Rhinolophus ferrumequinum: one gene and its partners. The protein of the gene in region 4 interacts with the protein of the main gene of each other region in a pairwise test. Links are inferred from orthologs where the notes say so. Each region holds a gene or a part of one and is shown on either strand. Other genes may lie near its edges. The genes, in order: RAP2B, CCM2L, ACOT7 and CAMK2B.

The links.
Region 1: the proteins of CAMK2B (region 4) and RAP2B interact in binary tests that used the Homo sapiens proteins (3 or more experiments, as listed by UniProt). The two-hybrid records come from large-scale screens. The link is inferred for Rhinolophus ferrumequinum from reciprocal best matches to the Homo sapiens genes CAMK2B and RAP2B.
Region 2: the proteins of CAMK2B (region 4) and CCM2L interact in binary tests that used the Homo sapiens proteins (3 or more experiments, as listed by UniProt). The two-hybrid records come from large-scale screens. The link is inferred for Rhinolophus ferrumequinum from reciprocal best matches to the Homo sapiens genes CAMK2B and CCM2L.
Region 3: the proteins of CAMK2B (region 4) and ACOT7 interact in binary tests that used the Homo sapiens proteins (3 or more experiments, as listed by UniProt). The two-hybrid records come from large-scale screens. The link is inferred for Rhinolophus ferrumequinum from reciprocal best matches to the Homo sapiens genes CAMK2B and ACOT7.

The regions. Positions count from the first base shown.
Region 1 is NC_046285.1:84,987,456-84,994,547, reverse strand, and holds the start of RAP2B (ras-related protein Rap-2b), read left to right. Parts: upstream 1-4,377; 5' UTR 4,378-4,529; coding exon 4,530-5,081; 3' UTR 5,082-7,092. UniProt on the Homo sapiens protein: Small GTP-binding protein which cycles between a GDP-bound inactive and a GTP-bound active form. Involved in EGFR and CHRM3 signaling pathways through stimulation of PLCE1.
Region 2 is NC_046306.1:22,527,810-22,534,810, reverse strand, and holds the start of CCM2L (cerebral cavernous malformations 2 protein-like), read left to right. Parts: upstream 1-4,000; 5' UTR 4,001-4,059; coding exon 4,060-4,089; intron 4,090-6,252; coding exon 6,253-6,420; intron 6,421-7,001.
Region 3 is NC_046292.1:3,884,664-3,892,138, reverse strand, and holds the start of ACOT7 (cytosolic acyl coenzyme A thioester hydrolase), read left to right. Parts: upstream 1-4,458; 5' UTR 4,459-4,788; coding exon 4,789-4,949; intron 4,950-7,475. UniProt on the Homo sapiens protein: Catalyzes the hydrolysis of acyl-CoAs into free fatty acids and coenzyme A (CoASH), regulating their respective intracellular levels.
Region 4 is NC_046303.1:208,227-215,958, forward strand, and holds the start of CAMK2B (calcium/calmodulin-dependent protein kinase type II subunit beta), read right to left. Parts: upstream 3,005-7,732; 5' UTR 2,750-3,004; coding exon 2,685-2,749; intron 1-2,684. UniProt on the Homo sapiens protein: Calcium/calmodulin-dependent protein kinase that functions autonomously after Ca(2+)/calmodulin-binding and autophosphorylation, and is involved in dendritic spine and synapse formation, neuronal plasticity and regulation of sarcoplasmic reticulum Ca(2+) transport in skeletal muscle.

The DNA of each region.
Region 1 (7,092 bases), on a different chromosome or scaffold from region 4:
TCTTGAGGAGTTAAAAGATTCATGTTCTAACAAACCAGTTAATTCTTTGAAGGCCCAACTCCAGTGTCACAGAAGCTCAGCTATCCCACTGTGTGAGCAAAGGCCAGAGACACTCGTCTATGTAAATTCAGTACCAAAGGCTGAGCAGTGCTTACCTGGTAGCTCTTACTTTTGTTTTCTAGAAATGCCTCTTCATGTTATCTGCAAATGTGAAGTCTTCTTCAGAGAAAAGGTTTGTCCACTGAACACTTGGCCACTTTCCCCAAGTTAGCACTGATTTAGTGTTTCCACCCAAATAAGGGTAGACTTTGATCGCCCAACATCTTTGTGACTCAGGAGGACTGAAAAAATAGTATATATTTTCTAAGGATCCAGGAAATGTTCTGTCTCACCAAGAATTAATATAATTTTTAACAAACAGAGTTTGGAAACTGAAGAAAATGCCATTCATATATTCAATAAATATGTATTGACGGCCTCCTATGTAGGTACTGCACTGGGTATTCTGAGGGACAGAGGTGGCTCCAAAAATAATCTGATATGGACCCTGCCCTCAAGGAATTCACATGATGCTGGGTGACAAGACACAGCCATATAAATAATTATTGTACGGGATATATAATGACCTATAAGTAAGGTAAATAAAGACTCCTGACAGATTTCGTAAGAGGAAATGACCACCCTTAAGATTTTCTGCATCAGCAACTTTATTATTTCATTTTGAACCCCAAAGCCACAGTGCAAATCTTTCTGTGGGAGACCATCTGAATGTAGTAAAAATTACTATTGAAGAATCCCTAATTAGAAAGTATTCAAACTGTGGCATCTTTCTGGTACTGGAGAGGGCACCAAGATTCAATAATACCCATCCACAACAATGCCTGGATTCCTGAGGATAGTCTTTCCTAGGTGGGGCTGTCAGGGCCCCTGGGTCTAGGTGGTAATTGTCATGCATTTATGGGGTACTGCAGCTTTGAAAGCACATTTCCATCCATTATCTGTTAATTATTACCCCCGAGGACAGGCTGGCACCATGAAAAGGGCAGCCCAGGACACCAGGGTTCTAATTCTGCTCAGTTCTCTCTGATATAAAATGACACGTTTGGTCACTAGATTCTCTCCAAGGTTCCTTGTATAGTTAAGTGGGTAGGTTAAATTTTATCACCATTTTATAGCCAGGAAAACTAAGGTCAGGAGAGCTTATGGGACTTGCCCAAGGTCTCAGATAATTGATATCCAATACTTGAGATTAGCCACCAGGCCTACATAGAAAAGCATTTTCTACTGTACCATATTCAGCACCACACCTAGCATTTGTGGGCAAGAGGACAAATAAAGGCCCATACAGCATTCATCTAAGTATTTAAGTCATAAATCAAGATAACAAACTGTTAAACACAACATGATTTATCCTGCCATCTTGACAAACACCTCTTCCCAAGGACCTGGAGGGCCAGGTGTGAATTATGAATTCTTAGACTCCTCTGAGGGCGGGCCAAGCTGGAAGGTGGCAGGGAAGGGAGGGCTGACTCCAAGGTACCCCTCTTCCTGCACTAAGGAGGGGCCCCAAGTGCCCTGCAGGGCACACACCTCAGCCCACAGGTCCAAGCCCTGTCCACACTCTGTCAACAAAGACCCATTCCCAAACACAGGGATGAGTTCAGAGCCCCAAGCAGATCCTGGAATAGGGTTTGGTACCATTTGGGCAGAAGATTCCAGAATTCTGATGATCTGTAGCATAGTCTAGAAGAGTGTGTGGGCTCTTTGACCTGTGGAGAAGGGGCACTGCCAGAGGTAAGCAGAGGTGGAGGTGGGCAGAGGTTCCTTTTGCTTGGGTTTAAGAGCCAGTCTGATGACACTACCTCAAGATTCAATCTAAGAGTAAAATCTGGGAATTTTCTTGTGAAGTAGTAGTATGGCCAATTGTTTACAGCAGCCGAACACCTGTGTTGGGACCCTAGCTTGGCCACTCACTAGCTGTGAAATATCAAGTAAGTTGTCTTAGGGCCTCAGTTTACTCGTCTTAAAACAGATGTGATAATCATTATGAGGAGTAAATAAGATAGCACGTGTTAAAAAGGTTGGCAGACATTAAACACTGGTTAAAGGTGAGGTTCTCTCCAGCTGTATTAGGTGAATTCGCCTTCGAGTTAGGTTATCTGGAGAATTATATAAGCACAATTATATCCAAGCTCTCTGATCATCAAGGTTGAACCTTCCTCCTTTCTCCACTAAATAGCGGGGCCAGGCACAGGGGTGGGCACTACCCACCCCCATCCAAGGCGTAGGCTGCTGCCCACATCCCGCCAATCCGGTGGCCCAGGACTTTGGGCTGCAGACATGCACAGTACGAGCTACAGCCTGGGGTTCGGAAAAGGTTACCTCGCAAACGTGGCCGTGAATCGGGCGGGGCTCAGGAACTGAAACTAAGTGTTAGCACACAGCACACCGCCTGGTTCATCCCTGTGATGCGGGCGGTTAAACCAGTGGGAAGTGACACCAGATAAAAACGTCAGGACACGGAGCCAGGGTTGACAAAGCCTTGTCCCCTCCCACCCCTTCATCTAGGTGCTCCTGCTAACTTCTCTAAGTCTTCTGACAGGTCTTGACATCTCTCCTCCGCAAGGAAGGAGGGAGACTCGGGGCAAGTCGAGGCATCTCCCTTGCACCTCCCGTGTGAGCTGAGCCAAGCGAAGACGTTTTCTAAAGACAAGCCTGGGCATTCCCCGTCCCCCCACCTCTCCGGGTGGAAAGAATTCAAAGTGGCCCGTTTCCACATCCTAGCCCCTCTACCCCTTCTGCAAAAAACAAAACACAACAAAAACTTGTTAACTTTGCTGTTGCTTATGGACCAAGAACTGTAACCAGCCCTTTCTCCTCCTTTTAAGGGACAGTCGTGACTGGGCACCGAGAAGTCAGACTCTCTCAAAAACACCAACAAAGGACTATATTTAGCTCTGAGCTCTCCGCCTAAATTCCTCTTATTTTTGCACTCTTAGCTTCAAAACGACTAGGTTGGGGAAGTGGGAGGAAGGGCGCGGGGGAGCAGCAGAGAAAGAACAGCTGTGCCTCCGCCTCTCAACTCCAGCTCTATAAATAACCAATCAAGAGCGGAGGTTACTTTTTAACCAATGAAGCAGCCCAAACTGACAAAACCTTGGCGGTAGCCAATGGAAGAACAGTTGGGGGTGTGAGATTTGCGCCCCGGGACCAATGGGTCCCGAGGCTGGGAGAGGTAATTTGAGCTGGAGTGTGGGTGTGTGGTGCAAAAGCTTCCTACTTCCAAGCCCGAAAACCTGCTCTGCCCACTGAGCATGCCCTGACTGGCTGCGGGAGCAGCCGCCACTTCGGGACGGGGTGGAATTCCGGTCTCCAGGTTCCGCTCCAGTCCAGACGGGAGGCGGGTGGGACGCTCCAAGTCCCAGCCCAGAGAGGACTGCGGTCACTGGAGGCTGCCCGTTTCCTGGTCGGGACGGTGGTTCAGAACCAGCGTTCTCGTGTTCTTTGTCCGCGGAATGAAGTGCGGGCAGAGTTGGCCATAGAAGGGCGAGTGGCGTTTCCCAGGCGAACGGTTTAGAAAAGAGCTGCGCCGTGGGCGGGGGAAGCTGCTCCACCCGCCGCTCTGGCACCCAAATGCCTCCGGCCCTGAGACGCACACCCGCAGGGGCTCTGAGAGTGAAGTCCCCGGGCTTTTGATAAACGGGACTCCGCTGCAGCAGAGGCCGCCCCTGGGGCGGGCCTTCGCGCCCACAAGCTTCTCGTAGAGCCGCCGCCTTCTGCGGAACCCCAGCGCCGTGAAAGAACGCGGCCTCCAATCCTCCTACCTGAGCTTTCCCAGCCCCCCTTCAACATAACCAACCCCCCGCACTTCCCATCCAGCCCCTAGACTCGCGCCTCTCCGGAATCCGCTCCTCCGGACTCAAATCGCAAGCCCCACCCACGTCCCCGCCCCCTGCTTGGCCCCCCGGAAAACCAGGAGCAGCGGATCGGGCGGGCGCGGCCGGCGGTGCACTGGGCATGCTCGCGGGGGTGGGGAGGGCCCGGCTGCGCGCGGCGAGTAGGAAGCCCTCGCCCCGCGGAGGCTGCGGGAGAGAGCGCGATGGGCCGCGGCGGTGGGCGTACGCTCTGCGGGGACTCATGCCACGAGCGTCCCAGCTCGGCGCGCAATTAGCAGCCACCTCCGCACCCCGCCGCCACCGCCTCTCCGTCCTCTTCGGCTGCCGCGGCGAGGAGCTGCAGCCGTCGCCTCGCACAGGCTGCCGGCATTGTCCTCCCGGTCCGAGCCAAGGCTGCCGCTGCGGGCTGCTGCGGGGCCCCGGACCCGCGCCCCAGAGACGCGCCGCCGCCGGCCGGCCCGGCGTCCGGCCCCCGTTTGGTGATTGCTGCGTCCTGCGCTCCCCAGCCACAGTCTCCTAGATTTTTCCTACGGAGCTGAGGACGGGGAGAAGTCCCGCCGCCGAGTCCAGCCTTTCCCCGGCGCGCAGCCCCGACGGGGCCGCGGCAGGCGCGGTGAAAGCGCCGACGGAGCCATGAGAGAGTACAAAGTGGTGGTGTTGGGCTCGGGCGGCGTGGGCAAGTCCGCGCTCACCGTGCAGTTCGTGACGGGCTCCTTCATCGAGAAGTACGACCCCACCATCGAGGACTTCTACCGCAAGGAGATTGAGGTGGACTCGTCGCCGTCGGTGCTGGAGATCCTGGACACGGCGGGCACGGAGCAGTTCGCGTCCATGCGGGACCTGTACATCAAGAACGGCCAGGGCTTCATCCTCGTCTACAGCCTCGTCAACCAGCAGAGCTTCCAGGACATCAAGCCCATGCGGGACCAGATCATCCGCGTGAAGCGGTACGAGCGCGTGCCCATGATCCTGGTGGGCAACAAGGTGGACCTGGAGGGCGAGCGCGAGGTCTCGTACGGCGAGGGCAAGGCCCTGGCGGAGGAGTGGAGCTGCCCCTTCATGGAGACGTCGGCCAAAAACAAAGCCTCGGTGGATGAGCTGTTCGCCGAGATCGTGCGGCAGATGAACTACGCGGCGCAGCCCAACGGCGATGAGGGCTGCTGCTCGGCCTGCGTGATCCTCTGAGGCGCCGGTGGCCGCCGCGCGCCGGCCGCGCTCTGCGCACAAAAGCCAAACGCACCCGACTCTCTAAATGTGATTTTTCTTCTTGCTTTGAGATTGGAGACGGTTTTGCATTGGCCAGGGTGACCCGGGAGCCCGGTTGGCCTCTGCGGCCGGCGTCCCCAGCCTCCTCCCCTTGTCCGAAGGGGTATCCGGTCCTGACCATCCGAGACTCGGTGGAAATGTGGCTCTTTGCAGCATGTACGTTTCTCATTGATTTTGGTTGACGTATATTTCCCCCTGTAAGTAGCGTTTAGGGCGCTGTATTGGCAGCTTGACACCAGCAAGCGAAAGTTTCAACCAGGAAAAAAAAAATGGGGTGGGGGAGAAAGAGGACAGGGAGAAGGTGGAAAGGGGGGGATTTTTTTTTTTTTTTTTTTTTTTTTGTCAACAAAACCGTTTTCTAGTTCCAAGTTTTAAATACATGGAAGGAAGTCCGGGAGAACCAAATGAAGGAGCAGGAGGAGGGGAAGAAACTTTTGGGTTTTTTTCCTTGTTTTCCAGGAGTAGCTGGAAATTATGATCAGGTTCTTTTTCTGCCAGCTTGGAAGGGCAACCCCGTGACTGATTGCGATTTGAGGATGTCTATGCAAAGTTGGATTCTTGTTACAGTGTATCCAATCTGAACTATTGCACATCAGAACTGACTTGTTAACACTGATGCCAATACAGTGTGGGGTGCCAGAAAGTGTCTGCTGATATTTGTGGGAAAAAAAAAATCTATTTTGTTTACCTACTGTATCAAAGGGGAGTCTGGGGGAGAACGGTAGTATTTTTTTTTATCAGCTGTGAAAAAAAATGTTACAGATCTGCACATCTTTGTGTGTACTATTGTGTGTGTGTGTGTGTGTGTGTGTTTCTTTAAGTTTAGTTTTTTGTTCTTACTGGTTGACAGTAACAGATTTTGATGACTAGCTCTTTAAAATACAGGACAAAGACTTCACAAATGTGATTCAGGGCCCCCAGCACCCCTGTGTCTGCAGAGTGCCTTCCAAACTCAGCTGTTCCAGCCGGTGCCAACCTGTGAACTTCCCACCCTGTCCCAGAATCTGCTGTTCCCCACACCACTTTCCAGTTTCCTTTCAGTAATCTTCCTGAAGGAGACAGGACAATAGGTCCTGTTGTTCTGTGAATGTCTTCATTATGTCCAGCCTTTAACATGTAATTTCCATGTCTTGCAATGGTTTCTATTCTTTTCTATTTTTTTTCGTTTTCATTTTGTTCAAATGTTCAGGTATTTAGCTCCCCTTTTATATTATCATTAAATTCTTTTGGTTATCTGTTAATAGGGTGTTCCTCCAGAAGCTAAGAGCAAAATTTTACTGTTGTGATGTACCAAGAGAATTCTAACAAATTGTAATTTTTAATTCCAGACACATTGTCTCGTCATTTTAAGACTTTTAATACAGATGTCATTTTTAAAGAAACCCAAAACTATTGTTTGTGTTTCTGTGTTTCATATTCAGTATCATGGCTGAGGTGGACAAGGGCAGGTGGTCGTGCCTGCCCCAAGAGGTGTTTGTCAGATTTTGAAGACAAGTAACTCATTGGCAACTTGAGTGACATTACTCCCAAATCCTTAAATAATAGGAAAAGTCATCAAGGTCTAGGAAGCCCTGGGGTGTGGCCATGCCGGCTTACTACATTTGTTCTGCTGACAAGCAACAGCTTACCTCACTGTAGGTAAGGAAGGGAGAATCCAAATGCTAATACTGCCTGCCTTTGGTCTGGGAAAGTAACCATCCACCTGACCAGGCAGAGTAGCACTTACTGTTTTGTTTAAATTAGGTCACCTACCAATTCCAAAGGATGTTTGGGGAAGATGATTTCTATTCTGAAGTCATATACCTAATAGTGTTTTCTGCAGTACATTTTGTCCGGGTTGTAGACAATATCTCAACCCTTCTGAGGTTTTGATTTGGAAATAGATCATTAGATTTAAAAGGAAGAGGGAAAAAAAAAATCTAAGGCAAAA
Region 2 (7,001 bases), on a different chromosome or scaffold from region 4:
TGGGCTACTTCCAGATCATCCCTTTAAAAAGAGGGGTTGTGCTCTCCCCTGGCTCTGTTTGCCCTTCCAACTGGCTGGACTACAGCTGTGTGGAGAGCCATCTTGAAGTCGAAAGCAAAACCATAGTATGGTGGAGTAAGAAGGTAGGAAGGCCCTGGGTCCTGCATACACGGAGTTCCTATACCTGCTGTGGACCTCTTAAGTGATAGAAGACATAAACGTCTATGTCTAAGCCACTGTTATTTCAATCTTAGTTATAGCCCAAATACATCCTGGCTAATACATCTGACCCTGAGGTTCCTAAGAAAAGTTTTTTGAAGAATCTCTAAGAAAGGTTTTCTGTTACAATAAAAAGACATACAAGAAGGGGAAACCCTTGGCTTCAACAAGGGTTGATGACATCAAAAGCAGGCTAAGGAAGGATGTATTACTCCTAAAGCCACAACAGCCATCTTGTCGGCTATATGAGTTTTCTAGGGCTGCCGTGACAAAATAACACAGACTGGATGACTTAAACAGCAGAAATTTATTTTTTCACAATTCTGGAGGCTAGAAATCCAAGATCAAGGTGTCAGCAGGATTGGTTTCTTCTGAGGCCTCTTGCTTTCACTTTCAGACGGCCACCTTCTCATAGTGTCCTCACGTGTTTTTTCCTCTCCATGTGTGCATGCGTGGTGTCTGTGTGTCCAAATTGCCTCTTCTTAAAACGACACCATGGGGCGGCCGGATGGCTGAGTTGTATGGCTGAGTTGGTTAGCGCACGAGCTCTTTACAACAAAGGTTACTAGTTCAATTCCCACATGGGATGGTGGGCTGCGCCCCCCGCAACTGAGCTGCGCCCTCCACAACTAGACTGAAGGACAACAACTTGGAGCTGATGGGCCCTGGAGAAACATGCTGTTTCTCAATAATAAAAAATTAAAAATTAAAAAACAACAAAGCAAAACGACACCAGTCAGATTAAACTAGAACCTACTCTTTGGTCTCATTTTAACTTATCTCCAAAAACAGTCACATTCTGAAGTACTACTGGGTGTTAGTGCTTCAACATATAAATTTGGGGAGGCACAATTCAGTCCATACCACCAGCAAAGCAGAAAAATGTAAAGAACTTGATGCCATTTTTGAGATGCTCAATTAACCAGCCCTGGAATCACTCACCATTGGACGTCTTGTCTGAAGAGATAATAAATTGTCCTTGTAGTCTAATCCACCTTTTTAATTTAATTTTTAAAATTTTTAAAATTTTATTTTATTTATTTACTTTTTTGGGGGGGAGGAGGGGATATTGGGGAACCACCGACAGCTCAGCGGCAGCTCGTTGTCTTCAATCTAGTTGTGGAGGGCACAGTTCACTGGCCCATGTGGGAATTGAACCGGCAACCCTGTTAAGAGCTCGTGCTCTAACCAACTGAGCCATCCGGCCGCCCTAGTCTAATCCACCTTTGATCAAGTAGCTTATTCTTTGCAGCCAAAAGCATCGCAACTCAGGCACCATGTGTTTGCTCAAGCTATTCCCTCTGCCTAGACCTTCCTACCACATGTCCTTCAAGGCTTGGCTTGAATACCACGGGCTTGGTGAATGACTCCTGAGTCTGCCTTCCCAGACTAGTCACTTGCCGTATTTCAGAGTTCTTTGCCTATGTGTCTTTCTCTCTAACCAGGTCAGGGTCGGCATATGCATGATACGCCAGCTGCCATGTGCCCCCCTCCTGTCCCATGGCAGGCATCGATAATCAATCCTTTTTCATTCTGGGAGTAGATCTGGTGTTTATCCTCTCCACAGAGCTCCAAGCAGCCCCTGCCAATCAACTGGAAGTGGCTCAAGATGAATCCTATTTGCCACAACTGTCTTTGAAAGCAGGGACTTTATTTTATTCAACTGTTTTATGATTCACAAGCTAATAATAAATGTTACCACTGTATGCTACTATTTTCATTTAACTCCTGCAGCAGAGGCAATCACCATCATTATCCTGCTTTTGACACATGAGAACTCTGGGCTCTGAGAGATGAACTACCTGTTCAAGGTCACACACATTTGAACCTAGGTCCACCTGTTTCCTCCACCTACTTCCACTGACGTTTACTAAGCATTTGATTAGTTCATAGCCCTGGGGTGGGCACTGCAGAGAATATGGATAGTTTGCTATTTCTAGTGGCATTCAGAACATTTCTTGTCCTACTTGAGAAGCCCAGAAGCTCAGTGATGTTTGGAGTTAGTCCAGGAATAATAAGCGTCCCCATTTTACAGATAGGGAAATTGAGGCTCAGAGAGAGGAAGAGGCTTGCAAAAGCCAGTCATGGAGGTGCCAGAGCAAGAGACCATCTTTCATTCTCTGCTGCCATTCTGAGGGTGGGAATTCGGGATTTGCTCAAGGGGTTAAATGGGAGTTTTGATGTCAGGAACAGTCAGGGATAGCAACATCCTGGCCTTTTCCGGTTGGCCACAGGCTCATGGAGATCTCCCTTCCTGCTGCTGGGAGGTGACTGGCAGGATGTAGAGAAGCAGGAGGGAGTGGCTGTGTGAGCTTGCACTAAGCAGGCTGGCCATTTCCCCTCCCCGGAAAAAGGAAGGGAGGTAAGGGGAAAGGCTAATGGCTAGGAGTCTTCTGTGGCCCTCACACGCAGAAGCAGTGGGAGCTCTGACCCTTGCTCCAACGGGCACTGACCTGGCACACCCACACTTTCAGAAAAACAATCCTATGCATTGGCCCCTGCACTTCACAATTTCCAACCACTTTTCTCATCCAGGGCCTGATGTCTCCTTGCCACATCTCTGAGTGCAGGGCAAGGCTGTGGGGTCATTGTTCCCATTGCAAAGATGAAGACGCTGAGGCCCAGAGAGGTTACAATAAGTAACCTGTCCTAGATCATACAGCAAATCAGTTCCAGAGTGTGGGTCTCTGGAACCCAGGTGTCATGGCAAGGGGAAGACAGGTCAATCAGAACCTTTCCAACTGTCCTGGGTGGGGTATACGGAGTGCATTGGCCCTAGAGGTAAGAAACTTGGCTTCAGATCCAGAGCTGGCAGAAATCCCGGGTCCTCCTCTTATTCACTGTGTGACCTTCTTGGGTCAGCCTCTGCAGTTGAGCTTGTTCTTAAAATCTGTATGATGGCTATAATAATGGTACCCCAATGTTATGAGGAATAAGTGAGATGAAATACATAAGGTGCTCAGCACAGAACTACAAAGGGAGCCTTGCCTCCCTAATATTCTCCCAAGAGACAGTAAAATAGCCCAGGATACACAGACACATAGGAAAGTAAATAGTTAAGATTTATTAAGCACTTCATATGTGCCAGGAGCTCTTCTAAGTGCATTTAATCCTTACAAGTTCACTATGAGGTCAGACTGGTATTATGCCCATTTTATAGATGGGGAAATTGAGGCACGAGAGATTAAGGGACTTGACGAAGGTCATAACCCTAGTAAGTGTCAAAGACAGGAGTCAACCTCAGGCCGCCTATCTCCAAAGCTCATGCATACTGCTTTCCTTAATAGTAATAATTAATTTTTTAAATTATAACTTGCTTGGACACAGTATTCTATAGTTTATGATGTATTTTTCTACCTGCTCTTTCATTTAGTTCTCACCACAGCAGCCCAGAAAGGAGGCAACATTTACTCCCCATTTATAGTGGGAGGTGGAAAGTGAGGCTGTGAAAGGGGTAACTGACCTGGCTTACCAAGGTCACACAGCCAGGTCAGCGACAGAAGTAGAAGTAGGACTTGGGAGTTTCGGACTCCATATTTAGGGGACCCTTCCCCAGCCTTATTCAACTCCCAAGCCCCCTCCATAGCAAGCCTCTGGCTGGAGGCCTAGAGGTTGTCTCCTCAGGTCAGTTGCTCGAGCTGGGCTTCCACTGTTGAGCTGAAGGGTCCCTAGGCTGCGTCCAGCCCCCTCCACCTCTGCTCACTATCAGACAGGAGGGGCAGGAACTCCAGAGCTGGTGGAGTTTCCGACCAGGCAGGAAAAAGAACAAAGGAGCTGTGTGGGGGGAGAGAGTGGAAGGGGTGGCCAGTAGGGTGGCAGAAGTAGAAGGGACGATTCACCATGGAATATGAAGTCAAGAAAGGGAAAAAGGTAGGTGGGAGGTTGGGAGGGACGCAGGGCAGAGAAATGTCCCCAGAGCTGGGGAAATGGGAAGTCTGGGGTGGGGGTGCTCGGCAGTGAGGGCATAGGTAGGGCTTTTTTCCCATTTGGAAGGACCTTCCTCCCCACCCTTGGACAGCCAGACATTTGGGCTCCAAACTCCTTAACCGGTCTCCTCCTGCTCTCAGTGGCTTCTGCCACCCTTGTAATGTACAGACAAACAGACAGGCACCTTCCAGGGAAACCCGGCCAGACAGATTTGTTTGGGAGACGGTTCCAACCTCCTTCCCTGGTGTTTTTGGGGGTTCCCTCCTGCAGCTTCTCAGACCAGGGACAGACACCCAACAGTCCCATTCCTCTGCTCCCTACTCTCCCAGACAGAAGGACCTCAGCCAGGGCAATTCTGTGCTGACGCTGCCTATTCTGGCTTGAGACTCATACCTGCTCCCCTGCTGGGTTCCAGTCTAGTCTGCCCCTCCCCATCTTTATACCAGAGCTCACTCCTAAGGCCTCAGCCTAGGGGTTATTCCCTCCACCCCTTAGGTTCTCACTCCTTCCTGACTCTAAGAAGTTCTAGTTTGGTTCTCTGAGCATCTCACCTGCAGTTCAGGGAGCCCCTCGGACTCCAAGTCCCACTCTCAGCTCCACCGAGTCCTCTTTTCCCAGGAAACGTAGGTCAGGCTGTTCCAAAAGGCTCCCTCGTGAATCACAAGGGCTCAGAAGGGAGCCAAGATGGATGTGCATGTTTTCTCTGGATTCATTCCTTCTACAGATATTTACTGAGCACCTATTATGTGCCAGGCACTATGCCTGGTGCCGTCGATGATGCAGTGATGAGCAAAGCCAGGCAAGGTCCCTGCTCCCTCCCTGGAGCTCAGTCTCATGGGGGAGGCAACTATCAATTTTTTAAACAAAGTATTTAATGCAACATTGCATAAAATGTTCCATACACGGTGCTGGGAGACAGGATATTAGGGACTCAGCCCTAGATTGGTCAGTTTGAGCTGAGATCTGATGGGTGGAAGGAAAGAGGATAGGGAAGAATGCTTCAGGCAGAGGAATAGCACGTGCAAAAGCCCGGTGGTGGGAATGAATATAGCAAGGAGGAAGAACTGAAAGATGGCCCTGTAGCTGGAGGGCGGAAGTGAGAGGCAGTGTGGGGTAAAATGAGCAGGACCATTCAGGGCCACAGACAAAACATTTACCTCTCCAGCCCACTCACACATACACAGGATAAAGTCCCAGCTGCATAGCTGGCAATCAAGGACGCTATGACTTGTTGACATAATCATTCAGCCACAGCAGACCTCACGCAGCTTCTCTAGGCTTGTGCACATCTGCCTGAAAGCCTCGTGCTGGAATGCGCTTTCCAATGAGATCGTTTGTTCTCATTACTCAGAGCTTCCATATACCCCATCCAGGCTCCCTGATATTGGTTTTAAAACTTGATGCATCAGAATCACCTGGAACCGTTGTTAAAACCTGGATCATTGGGTCTCATCCCCAAGTTCTGATCCATCAGGTCTGAGGTAGAGCGCAAGAACGGACATTTCTCTCAAGTTCCCAGGTGCTGCTGCTGGCGGTGGCGGCGGGCATCCAGGAATCACGCACCGAGACCTGCATGCTCTAGAGTAGTGCTCAAACTTTCCTGTGAGAACTGGATTCTGTTGGGCTGAGCAGGGGCCCTGGAATTTGCACCTTTAACCTTGCTCCAGGCCATTTTTATGCAGGTGCCCGCTGAATTATACTTCCGTGTACTTATTAACTATTTCTAACTTTTAGGAAGCACAGAGAAGAGCTTCACAAATACCTATGCACCCACCATCCAGCCACATGGAATCTTAGTATTTTTCTGTAATTGCCTCAGCCAGGGTCTTGGCAGGGCCTCCACCTCACCTTGGTGTTTAGAATGGAGGTTTTGGATCCAGACTGACCAGGGTGAGCAATTGGTTTTACCACTACTCGCTGGTGACCTTATCAGCTAGTTCTCTCTCTGAGGCTTAGTTTTTCTGCCTGTAAAATGGGGATTACGGACGTACCCCTTCTGTAGTCTTTGTGAGAATTAAATTTGGTGATGTAAGTGAAATCCTGAGCGTGGTAAGTTCTCTAGAAACTCAGTTGCTGTTATCAATGTTATTCCCCCACTTTCCCCAGGGCTTTGTATCCCCTATCCGGAGGCTGGTGTTCCCCAAGGCGGCACGCCGGGCAGCCTTTCGGAGCAGTGTGAGCCGCCGGCCCCTGCACTCCATGCCCCTCTATCCCCCTGACTACCTCATCGACCCCCAGATTCTGCTGTGTGACTACCTGGAGAAAGAGGTCAAGGTGGGTGTGGAATGAGAAGAGGTGGGCACAATCTTGGGTTGAAAAGCGTTAATATATGTTCCAATACTGCATGAGACTAAAAATACTAAAAAAAAACCAAACTGAAAAAGTATCTGTTATTTATGTGACATTCAAAATTAACTGGCATCTTGTATTTTATCTGGCAACCCTCTATGGAGAGAAAAGCTAACAAATAAATCCATTTAAAAACTGGAGACTTAAATTTCATAGAGAATTAAAAAAAGAGAGAAAAAGTGTGATTAGTGAAATTCACCAAGAAGGATAAAATTAAAAATAATGAAAAAAGTTAATTATTATATTGATGGAATAACACTGAAGTTAAGTGATAACATTAAGTTATTAAGAATAAATGAAGAATTAATTTATTGATTTGGGACATAGTTTTTCTGACAAAATTGTACACTTATTTCATACAACATTTTCCCCTTTCCATTTAACTTCTGCCACAAGATCCTAAAGAGGGTGAGTGACTTGCACCGTCATTTGAAACGTGCTTGGGGGCGGGGACAGAGCCACTCAGGTCAAGCGGGAATTCACAGGTGGTCAGTCCTTTCGAGGTA
Region 3 (7,475 bases), on a different chromosome or scaffold from region 4:
GGGGGAAAAAGAGCAAAGGACAAATGGTACAGATAGAAAAACAAATAGCAAATGATAGATTTAAGTATACGAATTGATAATTTCACTATGTATAAATGGTCTAAATGCTCCGAGTAGAAGGCAAAGATTGTCAGACTGCATAAAAATGCAAGTTGCTACTACTATATGCAATTCTACAAGGAACAGTCTCTATTTTCTTCTGTGGGGCCCACTTCTTTACTCCACCCTAACCCACTTTTTTTTTTTTTTTGAAATATTTGAATTTGGTTAGAACAGCTCTGAAAAGTCTGGGATGAGACCATGAGAATCTGATTAGAGTGATGATGGTGATAATGGAGAAGAAACTAAAAGTCAATTAGAAGGAACATGGTCAAGCCTTAGCTAACCAATAAGATATGGAGGAAGAAAGACAGGAAACCAAATATCCCTAGAGAGGATCCTATGATTTGGAAAATGAACAACCTTAATTGATTTCTTGAAATTTTCCTCTATCCTGATTTGCCTTGGTAAGTAACCCAATGTAAGTTGGTGAAGAAACACACTTTAAATATAGAGACAGAAAGGTTAAAGTGAAAAGACAGAAGACTACGATGGGTTAATTTCATGTGTCAACTCGACTGGCCTAGGCGTGCCCAGATTAAACATTATTTCTGGAGGTGTCTGTGAGGGTGTTTCCAGTGAGGTTAGCATTTCAGTCAGTAGACGGCCCTCCCCAGTGTGAGTGTCGCCCTCGGACTGGGATATGCACCATCAGTTCCCTTGGTTCTTAGGCTTTTGGATTTAGATGGAATCACAACACTGGCCTTCCTGGGTCTCCAGCTTGCAGATGGCAGATCGCTCCTCAGCCTCCATAATCATGTAAGCCAATTCTTGACAATCTCATAATAAATCCATCTCTCTCTCTTTCCATCTATATCTATATATCTCCGACTGGTTCTGTTTCTTTGGAGAACCCAAAAACAAAAAAATACAATACTAACACTTATCAAAAGAAAGCTGGGGCAGCCACATTAATACCAGTGTACTGATAGCTAATATTTTAGAATGCTTGTTGCTTCTCTCCCATATTTATTCTATCTCACCACCCTATGATAGCATTACTGATGAAGTAACTTGGGCACAGAGTAAGTAAGTAATTTGCCCAAGGCTGCACAGCTAATAGTAAAGATATGAGCGTGGGAATTGGACTACATAGTCCAAACCCATAACCACTAGGCTTGCTACTTCCCTAAAAATACATAGAAAAAAAAAAGTCCATAATCCCACTTCCCAGGTACATTAGTTTTTAAAGTTGTGAACTAGATATAACAAAAATGCGTAATGCCCATATGTGCATTGTATAAAAACAATTATCAAGCTGTACACCATCGCCTGAGTCAAGAGGGAACATACTCCCCCGTTCTCCCCACCCCGTGGGATTCACCCCGATCATACTCTTCTCCCTCTCACTGCGAGGGACCCACTGTCTTGACTTTTGTGATAATCATGTCCATGTTTTTCTTTACAGATTTGCCATCTACTTACGTTTTCCTAACAAATATTTTATTTTTAGCAAATTTCTATTATGCAACACAGTGTTATCAACTATAGTCACCATGTTATACATTAGATTCTCAGGTCTTGTTCCTCTTATAGCTGAAAGTTTGTACCCTGTTATCAACCTCCCCTTCTTCTCCCCACCCCCTAGTCCTGGAAATCGCTTTTCTATGATTTCTTTGAGTTTGACTTCTTTTTTTTAAAGATTCCACATACTGTAGAAAATGCAGTATTTGTCTCTCTCTGTCTGGCTTATTTATTTCACTTAGCATGATGCCCTCCAGGTTCATCCCTGTTGGCACAAACGATAGGATTTCCTTCCTTTTTAAACTGAATAATACTCCATTTTGGCTATTGTGAATGCTGCTGCAGTGAACATGGGGGTACAGCTATCTCTTTGAGACAAAGGTTTTGTTTCCTTGGGACATATACCCAGAGTGGGATTGCTGGATCATATTGTAGCTCTATTTGTAATTTCTCGAGCCTCCATACTGCTTTCCACAGTGGCTGTAGCCATTTACATTCCTATCCAGTGCACAAGGGTTCCCTTATCTCCACGTCTCTCCAGCATTTATCTCGTCTTTTTGATAAGAGCACAAATGGAATGTTAGGTCTTTCTGTGCATGGCTGGACACTCACTATATGTATCCTTTTGGATCTTTTCCTCATTGTGATTCTTTCCTGTTGTAAAGGAATTTCATTGGTTTTCACGGGTATTTGTACTGCATCGAAGAGTATGCTACAATTTACTGACCCAGTCTACAGTTGATGGGCGTTTGGGTTATTTCCAGTCTGGGGTTATTACAGTGTTGCTATGAACCCTCTTTGAAGCGTATCTGGGTGCACTCATTCTCAATATATCGGGTGAATACCTAGAAGTGGAACTGCTGGGTAAAGGATATGGCTATTTTCAACTTTAGTAACTATTTTAAACTATTTTCCAAACAGGTTGTACCAATTTAGTCCCAACCTCAGTGTATAAGAGTTCCTATTGCTTCGTATCAGATGCTCCGTAATTAACCATGAAAAGGTAATAACGTAGGTGAATGGTTAGATGATAACTGTACAAAAACATATAAATGAGAAGTAAAGGCCTTACCCCTAGTCCTTTTTCCAAAGGTGTCAACAGGTTCTTCCGTATCTTTCCATAAATATTAGGTATTATTTTAATAATATATTTGTTTTTAAAACAACTTGTGTATATTTCTAGTCCAAAAAGTGTGCAAATTAAATATAATGAATTAAATATCTGCTGTTGTTAAATACATTGCTGTTGGTAAACCACTACTAATTCAATCATTCGTAAAATATTTATTGAGCATCTATTATGAGCTATGCACTCTTCTAGGAGTTTGGGATACAACAATAGTCAAAAATGCCTGCTTGCATGGAACATACATCCTAGTTGGTGGAGACACAATAGATAGATGAGTAAAATATATGTTGAACGGTATTAAGTGCTAATTAAGAGAAAAACAAACCAGGGAGGGGGCTAGGGAGTGTTGGAGAATTTTAGATAGGGTGAGTGGAGAACTGAGGATGTGAAAGGGTGGGCCACGTGGGTCCCTAGGGCCAAGTGGTCTCAGCATATTAAAGGCCCATCAGGGAGGTCAGAGCGGCGAGAGTTCAGTGACCGAGAGGGAGAGCAGTAGGTGAAGCCGGACACATGGAGGTAGGTGTGGGCAGATTCTTGAATGCCACAGCTGGAGAAGTGACCACATTCTAGACTTACGTTGAATGTAGAGGTGGCAACATTTGCTGATGGGTTCGATGAGGGGTGTGAGAGAAAGGGGGGGGTTGTCAAGGATGACTCTAGGTTAGCTTAAGCCATTGGAAGGAAGGGATTGTGACTGAAGTGGGAAGACTGCAGGAGGAACAAATTCTGGGGGACTATGAGGATGGTGGAGAGCGTTGGATGCCTATGACACAGCCTGAGTGAGCTGCGGCCTAGGCAAAAGCACATATGAGCCTGAAATTTAGAGAGGTCTGCGCTGCAGATTATGTGGCAATTATTGACTAGATGGGACTTAAAGTCATGAGAGAGGATGAGACCTCCAGTCCAAGCACTGCTCGGGTCTCCTCTAAGTCAAGTTCTGAGGAGGAGGAGGTGAGGCAGAACAGCACAGCAGGCTGAGCAGAGTGGCTAGAAAAACAGGAGTGGGTGATGTCTTGGAAGGCAGAGTCAACGTTTTGAGAGAGATAACGTCTGCTGTTGAGAAGACAGGTAAAACGACTTCTGACACGAATTATTGGGTTTAGCAATTTGGAAGGAATTAGTGACCTTGATAATTGGGCAGCAGAGATAAAAACAGAAAGGAATGGGTTGGAAAGAGAACGGGACGAGGGAAGAGGAGAGAGGGTGGACGTATAAACAGCTCTGAGAAGTTTTGCTGAAAGAGAGGGATAGAAATGGCCCAGTAGCTTGAGGAGAAAGTAGAAAAAACTAAAAGGGGAAGGTGAGAGACTGTAAGGGGAGAGATTGTGTAAAACCATCAGCACTATAGCAAAAATAACTCATGGTATTTTTGCTAAGGGACTGGGCCCCCCCACTGAGATCCTGTTCGAAAACAACTGGCAATCATATACAAGTGGTTAACCCGGGAGCACCCTTTTCTCTTTACAGAAGCCAGGACACAGTAACATTTGGACTGTTATGGTCCTGGGCTCCCTCTGCCGTGTTTGCAGCGTGGGCCGTGTCAACAGACCCCGGTTCCCTGCTTCTCTCCAGCCCATCTAGGCTGGTGCTGCTGCAAAGGCACTTGCTGCAAAGGCCTAACAGTTCCTAGCTTCCCGTTTTGTGCATTCACGTGCCGCCCTGCACAACTCTACACAGCAGCTCCGCCACGAACGCTCGTTTACAGGAAACCGCCTCCAATTTCCTCTCGGGGCTGACTGTAGAAGGCGAAACCCTGACGCTCACTCTCGCAGGCCTTTCTGACACGCAACGGCCACGGGGCCTCCGCATCCGGCCTCTCCCGCCCGGTGGGCGCACGGTGAGACCACGAGCTGGCAGGCGCCGCGGGTGGGCACGCCACGCACAAACCACACCGCGCGGGGCGAGGCTGACCCACGCGGCCGTCCCGCCGGCACCGCCCAACCGCCGCCGAACCTTCTAGAAGCGGCGCCCCACGGCCAGAGCCCGACGCCCAAGGAGCCCGCGGACGCCAGGGGCCGGGACGTAGGAGGGGTGGGGAGTGCAAGACGACCGCATCCGATTCGCTGCCGGCCCGGAGGCCCCGCCACGCCAGCGCCATGGCCCCGCCTCCTCCCTCCCCCTCCATGGCGCCGCCCGGGCTCATTCATTCCGCGCCCGGCCCGCCAGACACCTGCGCTCTCCTTCAGCTGCCCGCCGCCGCTGCCGCCAGCATGTCGGGCCCCACCACCGAGACTCCGTCCGCCATCCAGATCTGCCGGTAAGAGGGGCGCGCAGCGCGAAGGACGGCCGGAAGGCCAGGTCACGGCCCGGCCTGCCCCTCCGCGCTCTCCCCGCCTCCGCCCCGGGCCAGGCCCATCATCTTCGGCCAGCCGTCCGTCTCCCGACCCCGCCCGCCCGCGGCCGGGTGCGCCCCGGGTGCCGCAGACACAGCGGCCTCCTCGTGCGCGTCCTCGCCGGCCTCCCGCGCATCCCCCGGGCGGCGCCGCGGTCACGCAGGCCGTTTGCGCACTGATTCGGCGCGACGCCCTTTCCTGGCGGGGGTCGGAGTGCGGCCCCCCTGCGCCCCGCCCAGCTCCGCCCCACCGGTGCCCAAGCACGCTGGAACCCCAGCCCAGGTCCCACTGAGTCCCCTAATTCAGGGTCGTTTTCTGGGTAGTGGTGCAAAGCCAACCGGATCCCCCGAGATGTGGGGCGCAAGTAACCAGCTCGCTGGTCGGCGTCCGGAGCCCGGCGAACCCATCGGTGGGTGCCCGAGTGGGCGGGGGCTGCAGATGTACAGTCCCTTTTAGTGCACCGCTTAGGTTTTTTTAGGGGAAACCAGGATTAACCCAAAGAAAAAAAAATATCCTTCCTCTCTAACAGTTTACTGCTAAGAGGGAATGGTCCATTGAGCCTGGAAGCATCTTACACAATGGGGGCAATTGTTTGTTCTCAGCAGACCACCCCTGCCTTTCTCCACGGGTACCAGGTAGATGGAGGCCCCCAGAGGAAGCGGGAGATCGGGAACTGGCTCATTTCCGACCAGAGGATGGAGGGCAGCCTCAAGGTTACTCTTCATTCCCTTGGGCAGAATCTGAAGCAGGCTCGCTGGTATTTGAGCTTGAGCTAAGTAAGGGCAAGGCTGCGAAGGCCGCACAGGCACTGGGGGCCTGCAACAGGGCCTGTCCTGCGTGGTGCACCGCTAAGAGTGACAGCTGCTTCCTGTTTTGGGGCAGGTTCCACAAATTTGGGCATTGGGTATCACGCTAACCTTGGGTCCAAGCCAGGTTAGTTTCCTGTGGATGTTAACATCTCTCTGGAAGAGTAAGTGCTGGATCGGTGGGGTGCCCTGACCGCACCCCCTCTTCTGGCCTAGTCCAGGGCCTTTACTGACTTCAAGGTCAGTTTTTACTTTTCTAGGGAGAGGGAATCTTCGGGGGAGCTTTGCTCCATTCCCTTTGTTCTTGGCTGTCTTGTCCACCCCCCACTCCAAGTTCCTGGGGCAAAAATAATAGAAGTGACTGCTATTTGGAGAGAGCGGGGCCTGGAATCAGGTCCTTGGTTCAGGCTCTGCCTCTTATTGGCTGGGTGACCTTATTGGCTGGGTGATCCTTTGCAAAGGGCTTGTATCTGTCTCATCGCGCTTGTTTTGTCCAACTTCCTGGGAGGAGGCAAGGATCTCCACCACTCCCCATATGTGGAGGAGGAAATTGAATTTCCGCAGACCCAGTGCCTCTGAAAGGTCATCCAGCCACAAGAGCCTGAGGAGCAGCTGCTGCCAGGTCTTCTGTCTCCAGACCCGTGCTCTTTCCACTGCACTCCCAAAAAAGAAGATACTGATTTCAGTCTATTTGTGGACAGCTGGGCTTTTATTTACTTCATCAGGCTGATGAAAACCTAGGCTACACATATTATCTTGTTAAAAACCAGCGTCTCACCTGAAACTTACATAATGTTATTAACCAATGTTACCCCAATAAATCTAATTAAAAAATAAGTATCTGAAAGCCCCAGCTTCTAACAATTAATAGATTTTTGGATAGCTTTAGACACTTCCATATGTGCACAAGCCTACATGTGTGGGCTTTTCTTGCTCACTGTGCTTTCCGGACTGCCTCTTGCATATTCACAATTGCATATTGTCTCGGCTGCCTTGGCTGTGGGATGCTTGGGCAGCATACCTGGCTGAGGTGAGCCTGCCAAAGTGGGGAGGGCTTGGTCACAAAGGCTTGGTCCAGTGAAAGCCCAGGACACAGGAAAGAGTGGACACACCAGTGTGGGGAGCCCTTTAAGGATATCTGAGCCGACACCCTGTGTTGAAAGAGGAGCCTCCTGGCCTAGGACAGCGGAACCCATGAATTTAACAAGTTTCACTGGACGCTTCCAAGGAGGAAAGTGCTCTGAGGGAGGGACACCGACCTGGAAAATTTGGTCCTTACCTTACGGGGTTTCACAGTTCAGCAGGGGGAAGATGCCCAAACCCCCACCATCCTGCACAGTTAAGAGTGCTCACGTGCTTTGGGTTCCGAAGGAGATGTTGAAGGGCTTGGGGCTCTAAAGGCTGGGGAGGGCAGTGGTTAGAGCCAGCTTTGTAGTCCCACGCCTGGGTGTGAATTCAGCCTCTGCCACTTGGCTGCCTAACTCTTCTGTGCCCCCATTTTCTCATGGGTTGTTCCGAGTGTTACAGAAAAGAAAATGCATTTAGTGCTTGCCAGAATGACTGGCGCATTGTAAGCAAATGGAGGCTCTTTTTGTCTGAAAAGTGGGACGCAAACTCAGGACGCTGACACCCTGGGTTTGAATC
Region 4 (7,732 bases):
TTAGTTATGGACACTTCCATCTGTGTGTAAATTAACCAAAAAAGGAGGACAAACGCCACGAGCATGACAGCAGCTGGAGGAAATGGCGCTTCACACTGATCTGTGATGCTTCACGGCTTATAACTTATAAAAACAACTTAAAGCCAAAAGGGCAATCGAGGAGGGACAGTTTTAAGTTCTGGGCAGAACAGACACACTACTCCGGGAAGTGTTCTCAATTTTAAAAATCCACCCATGGGGAACATAATTTGGTGGTTACCAGAGGGTAAGGGGGTTGGGGGGTGGGGGATGAGGGTGAGGGGGATCAAATGTATGGTGATGGAAGGGGAGCTGACTCTGGGTGGTGAACACACAGTGTGATTTATGGATGATGTGATACAGAATTGCACACCTGAAATCTATGTAATTTTACTAACAATTGTCACCCCAATAAATTTAAAAAATAAAATTAAAAATCCACCCAGATTAAAATCAAGAGAAATCACATTAAAACCACACTGCGGGAGGCTCTGTGCTGGGCTGAGTGTCCTACCCAGCTCTGTCCTGTCTGGGGACCCCCAGCTCGAGGTGGCTCTTAACCCAGGACATGGGTCACGTCAGCCCGGCCCAGCCGGACAAAGGCAGGGCCCCAGAAAACAGCTCCTTTGGCCCTCGGACCCTGTAGTCCAGGCCCCAGTGGACAATGCCTGGCAGTTGGCGGGGGTAGAGAAAGGGATGAGGGAGACCGGAGAAGCTGGCAGCCACGTCACAGGGGCAGCTGTGGGCCAGTGGCCTGGCCTTCCCAGGCAGGGCGCTCAGCGTCATCTGACTGGTGCCAGGGGCTGCAGCTTTAAATAAACTTGGACACATCCACCTGGGCCAGGAAGCAACACCAACTGTGTCTCTGGGAGGCCAGGCACTGTCAACAACCAGCCAACATGGCCACTGAGGACCCCAGCCCTGGGTGGGGTGGCTGAATGCCCAGTTCCTGCAGTCACCCAGCAGGGCTGAGCCTCACACCTGGGGGCGCTCCACAAAGGGCTCCAGGCCTAGCTGAATCCCTGTTCCCCTCCCTTCCTCTCAGGCCCTGCCCCTCCCCCCACACACACACTAGGCCTCTTCACCCACTCAGGCCGGGGTAGGGGTGCACCTGCACTGTGGGGGCTGCCACCCGCTCTGGCTCCCCAGGACAGCCCCAAGGACCCCACTTCCCAGTGTGGCTGTGGGTGGCAGCTGCCATGCTCAGCACTCACTGCTGGGACCAGAGCTTCACAGGAATGTGAAGCCAGGGTCATCCAGCAAGGAAATGGGGGCTCACAGAGAGGCAGCCCTGAGGGTGAAGAACAATGTGAAGTCCCCTGGAAGGGATGCCCTTCCTCCCACTGCCGCCCCCAGCTGGTGTCGTGGGTGGGAACCGGGGAAAGCAGACCCTGCCCTTACCTCTGCTCTGTTTCCAGGTCCAGCCGCCTTGGGGCCCGACACCCAACCAACCCCACTCAAGGGCAGGGAGTTTGTGGGTACGCCGCCCAGCCTTGGCCCCACCATGGGCCCCTGCAGGTCACCCCGCAGCCCCTAGGCCTGGGTATTTGCACCCCAGCCTCCTCCCAACTCCGCACCCACAATCATCAATGGTCAGCATGCACCCCAAACAAGGTGTCAACACAGACATTTGTTTAGAAAGAGAAAGAAAGGATCCGCCGCTGGGTGTGTAAGAGGAAACCTCCGCAGCTGGGATGGAGGACGATGGAGGAGGACGGGGCTCATTGGCAGCAGGCTGGGGTAAAGCCCCCCGATTCACGGCGCCAGCAGCCCCGGCCACAGAGAAGCGCCTGACGGGCTTCGTGATGCAACCCCCCCCGCAAAGCCAGGGCTCAGGCCCTACACCCTTCACATTGGCGAGTAGAGCCGGGAGCCACCTGTTCCCAGATGTGGCCTTACCTGAAAGGAGCCTTCAAACACCTCCCCACCGGCCCCCACCTACCTCTAGGACTCTGAAATCAGGAGCCCCCGCAGGCTCCCCACCTGACCGCCTTATCTCCAGCCCAGTGACCTAACCCCAGTTCCCTGACCTCGGTTTCCAGCTCTCCAGACTCCTCCTTCCGGAAGGATCTCGGGAAAATCCCCCAGAACAGATTCCCTGGGGGACCCGCGGCATAGGTTGTTCTCACGCGGCCCAAAGCGCAGCGAGCACCCCCGCCCCACGACACCCGCGCGGATGGAGCCACGAGGAGGAGCAGGCGCCCAAGCAGGTCCTGCCGCCCCCGCGCCCAGCCGCTCAGTGGGGGTGGGGACAGCACGGCCCACACCAGGGATGACCCTCGGCCCCGGCTGCCCCCTCCCTCACGCTCCAGGACCCAGAGCTGCCCAGGCGCGCCCCTCCTCTCTGACCTCCCGCCGCCAAATGCGTCACGTCTGCGGGGCGCTCGGGGGACACCTGCTGCCGCCCCCGCCGCACTGATCCCCACGTCCCGAGCCGGGGCTTCTGGCTGGGCGACCTCGCTGAGCAGGACCAGGCAGGGCCGAGCACGCGGAGGTCCGGCGACCTGGCCAGGAGCCCAGGGGTCCGGGCCTCGGAGCCGGTGCGTTCCGGGCCCGGAGCCGGTGGGAGCCGGGGGCGCGCCGGGCCGCAGTGCGCCCGGAGCTGGCGGCGCGGAGGTCCGGGTGTCCGGGGTCCCGGCCCCGCACGCACGCGCCGCGGCTCTTACTTGCCAATATCCTCGTAGAGCTGGTACTCGTCAGTGAAGCGGGTGCAGGTCACCGTGGTGGCCATGGCGGAGACGGACGGGCTCGGCGTGCGCTCTGCTGCGCTCGGGCGGCGGCGACTCCGGCTCCCGCTCGCGGGCACGGCGACGCGGACGCGGGCGACACCTCGGCTCGCAGCGCCAGGAGGGGGCCAAGCTGGGCTGCGAGCGCACGCGAGATCTGCGCGCTCCGTGCCCGCCAGGAGCGCGCTGCACACCTACGCGCGGGGAGCGCGGGCGCTGCTGTCACCGCCGAGCCTGCCGTGCCTATCCCGCCTGCCGCCCCCTGCGCGAGCCCCGCACCCGCGCCCTCATCCGCACCCGCGCCCTGCACACGCACGCGCGCGCGCGCGCGCACACACACATGTGCCCTGAACACAAGTCCTTGGAGCTCAGGGCCACGCACAGAACCACAGCCGGCTGCGTCTGCTGGCGACCCTCTGCGCGCGCGCACACAAACGAGACCACACAGTGAATCCAACCCCCTCTCGCCTTAAGGCCCACCTTGCCCAGGACTGCGAGAGGGCACTGGGCGCACAGGGGATGGGGGCACGTGTGCTACGTTCCACAGGATTCATCCCTCACACCCCTGGGAGGAGACTCTGTACTGACCCGTCCGCACACCGCATGGTCCTGTCACCCCCAAACCAGAGTGCGCACTGGAGATCCTGGGGGTGGGAGGTGAAAGGTTGGAGGCTGCCCCCTGCCCATGGTCCCAAACGCTCCCTCCCTCACTCCTCCTAGCCTTGGGTGCTGGGGTGTCTGCACTAGAGGTCCCAGCAAGGGGGCGGTTGGAGTTCAGGCCCAGGGTCCTTGAGTCAGGGGAACTCGTGTCCTGAGCCCCTGCTGGGGTAGGAGGACACATTCTCCCCTGTGCCAGGCGTCATCCACCTGCCTGACCCCCACCTCCTCTGGTCTGATAGAAGAGGGTCCATCCTGGGGGAGGAGGAGGAGGGAGCACGAGGGCTGGCAGGAGAAGCTGGCTGACCCCAATTTTCCACAGAAGAATCTCCCCCAGGGCCACGCCCAGGCTGCCGCCTAGAATGGGGACTTCAGATCCAGAAGAGGACCCACCGGGATCTGGTACCCCCACACTCCCTGAGCGGCCGGGGCCAGGGCCCATCCTGGACTGGCCCTGAGGAAGGAAATTTTCAGCTAGCTCTGGACTTGGGTTGCCTGGCTGCCCTGACGTGAGCCACTGACAGCACGGCAGGTAGGCTCCCAGTGGTGGGCACTTGGCCTGCCCTGCTCCTGCTCATCACTCACCTTGGTGGCCAGTCCAGGGCTGGCCCCAGAGGCCACAATAAATGTTTCCTGGATAAAAGATCACATCGAAGGGATTCTGGGGTGGAGGCAGCCAGGGCCTGCTCCACCAAGTTGCCTTTGGCACATGGATATCGGACAGATTAGCAGACCAGGTGGGACCAGTCCAGGTTCTGCGTGCTTTTGCAGACCCAATTTGCACCCAGAAGACAGAGGCCAAGGATAATCGGGTGAGTCCTGACTGGGGGCAGTGAGGGGCCTTTGGGGGCATGGCCTTGATTGCAGCAGGGTTGGCAGGATGGGAGACCACTGCCATGCCACGGTGCTGGGACCAGAGCCCTCAGCTGTCCTGACAGACGATACCCACCTTTCCTGTGAGGCCCCTCACAGACCAGCAGAGGCTTGCTCTGGGGTTGTGTTCAACCCCGCAGGAGCCTCTCCCCCAACATGCTGGGCCATCTGCGTGGTTCTGAGCTCACAATAGAATGCAAAGAGCAAACAAAACAAAATTGCACCCCTGGGCAAATCAGTCTCTCTCCAGGCTACAAGTAGACTCTGGGTGCTGCCAAGGTCACACACTCGTACCAGCGCGAGTCCATGCCATGATGAAGTGACATTAAAGGCATGACGACGCTGATTTGCTTACCTGATTCTACATGAATTATCTTATTTAATCCTCAAACAATCCTAGGAGGGTTATACTATTACTATACCCATTTTATTAGAAGGGAGAAAGAGAGAGAGGTGACACAGCTAGAACATGCTTGGGACTGAAACCCCACTGCTCTACAACGCCTCGTCTTATTTTCACACACTCGCACACTCACACATACACACAGTAACACACATGCATGGCTTCCACAGCAGCACTCTGGGTGCTTTGTTTTGAGGTCCCTTTCCCTGGGTGAGGAGGCTGCCCAGGTCCAAGGTTATACAAGAAGTCAGGGTCACCAAAGGGGTGCAGTTTGAGCCCCCTTTTCTCCTGTTAGGACCTGAAGTTCCCTGCGCAGTCCCTCCCCTGGGCTGAAACATTAAAGGTGCGACGCAGAGCAACCTTGAGGGCAGAGCACCATTATGGGGAACGGCTGAGCCTCCAGAGACCCTGACAGTCCTACACAGCCCAGCCCCTCACCCCACTCACAGAGCAACTCGCTCCCCACCTCCAGGCCCAGAGGGCTCCTCCCCCGCAGAGTGGAAAAGCTAGAAGAGTGAGGGGCTGCCAGCCATAACTCTTTCTGGGGCTGCCCAGAAGGCCTCTCATCTGGGTTTTGCTTCCCATCCCTCCTTTTGGAAGGGACCTCTTCCACCCGCACCCCCATGTCATCTCCGCCTCCCCCCTTATCCTTTCTAGCTGGCTTTCATCAGTGAGGAGGGCTCTCCCTCCCAGGTGGCAGCTGGGGCGGGTGTGGGGAATATCAGCTCTCAGTTCTGGGAGGTTATTGTTAGGATGGTCCCCATGGCAACGAGCATCACATCTGCAGAGCCAAAAGTGCTGCACTGGGGCTCAGTCCCCCAAGGAAAGCCATGGCATCCTCTGTCCCCTCACCCCCAGGGGCTGCTGTTATGGGAGGGATGTCACTGCCACCACCTCTCTCAGGCACAGTCATCTGCCTGGACGAGCATGCTGCAGTTCCCTAGAGCACAAAGATCCCAGTCATCCATGTCCAATCACCTGGCCCATGATGTGGCAGCCCATGCAGGATGCTGTGGCAAACATGTGGGAGGACGATTTGGTAGTGATGGTGATGATGATGGTGATGGTGGTGATGGTGGTGATGGTGGTGGTGGTGGTGGAGGTGATGGTGGTGGTGATGTGGTGGTGATGGTGGTGATGGTGATGGTGGTGGTGGTGGTGATGGTGGTGGTGATGGTGATGGTGGTGTGGTGGTGATGATGGTGGTGATGGTGATGGTGGTGATGGTGGTGGTGGTGGTGGTGGTGGTGATGGTGGTGGTGGTGGTGGTGGTGGTGGTGATGGTGGTGGTGGTGGTGGTGGTGGTGGTGGTGATGGTGGTGGTGGTGGTGGTGGTGGTGATGGTGGTGGTGATGTGGTGGTGATGGGGTGATAATGGTGGTGATGGAGGTGACAGCGAAGGTGATGGTGGCCAAGCTATAATTTACAATGTACTCACTACATACTGGAAAATCTGAAGGTCTAACACCCACCACCTCATGTAAACGTTATAGCAACCTTGCAAGATAGGGGCTATCGTTAGCCTCCTTTTACAAATGAGGAAACTGAGGCACAGAAAGACTGTAACTGGGCTCAGGTCACAAAGCCAGTTTGTGACAAAACCAGTATTGGCACCCAGATCTGCCTGACTTTATATCTGCTACCTTTAGCCACTGTGTCTGCTCAAGGGTGACTACTGGCCTTGTTCATGTGGTTACTGTGTGCCATTTGTGCCTGGCTCTGCCCAGCACCGAGTCACACTTGGGAATGAGGTGGGCTCATGCCGAAGACCAACAAGAAACAAATGTAAAAACACTGAGTAGTGATTTGCTGGAGAGTGACAGGGTGATAACTTCAGAGTACGTGCCAGGGGAAGCCCCTCTGAGGAGGTGACATTTAAGCTGAGATCTGAATGACAGAGACACTAGGATAGGGGAAGGGCACTGCAGGCAGAAGCAGCCATGATGCAAGGGCTCTGTGGCTGGAGCTGGCTGGTGTGTTGGGAAAGAAGAAGGGGGGAAGAGAGGGCCTGCAAGGCACCGCCATGCTCTATCATTTGTTCATCTGCGCGTTCTGCTTGGTACCTGAGTCCCCCAAGGGAGTCTGAGCCACCTAAACACTAACAAACAAAGTGACAAAGCTAACCAGTTAGCCTGGGACACAGCGAGTGTCCGGCATGAAGGACATGAGGGGACAGACCTGCAGACCTCCTCTTTTTCACTAGGAATCCAAGCCCAAGGTGGGCAGCACTGTATGCAAAAGACCATACGCTCAGCGTACAGGCGTCCCTGCTGGGCCCGCTCGCGGGCAGGGGCTCAGCCCTGCTCCTGCCACCTCTCCTGAACCCCTCCCCGGCCTCTGGTTGACTGGGACCCCCTCCCCAAGCCCCAGGCCAGTGGCCTGTTCTGGTCCAACTCCATCGCATCCCTCCTGGTTGGTGTCACCACCATTCTTCTGGAGATGCCTGTGACGCTGGGCCCCAGAAGTCCAGGCTTTGTCCCAACCCATCTCTCCGCCGACCTTGTATTGGGCTCACACAATTGTCTCCCTCGACCAGGGCTGTTCAGGCAGCATGACACCAGTGTCCCAAATAGCTAGGAGGGGCCGGGGAGCCACTCCCAGATTGTACCTCCTTCACCATGGACGCCAGGGTTTTGTTGTGGAAACTGCATCTTGGTGTGAGTCAGGAGACCTGCACTCAGGCCCCTCCTGTGCCCACCTGCTCACCTCCTACCCGTAAGCACACAGGGCATGCGTGCTGAAGTGGCTATAGGCCTGGGGTTCCCATCGCAGACACAGAGGACCTGTGTGTATCAGCCAAGGACTTCCCTGCCCCCAAGCACCCAGAGGGGGCACCTCTGCTGCCAGGGCTGGCTCTCTTCCTAGTGTTCCAACATAGAGACCCAGCCATTGCGTCCAGGTCCCTAGGAGTCGGATAGCGAAAAGGAGGATGGACTGTGGGCACTCATCAGCTTCTGGCCACATGACCCTCCCCTGACACCCATCGGCCAGAATCTAATCAAGACTTCACTTAGCTCCAAGGTGCTGAGGAAAAGGTCTTGACCCAACATGTGAG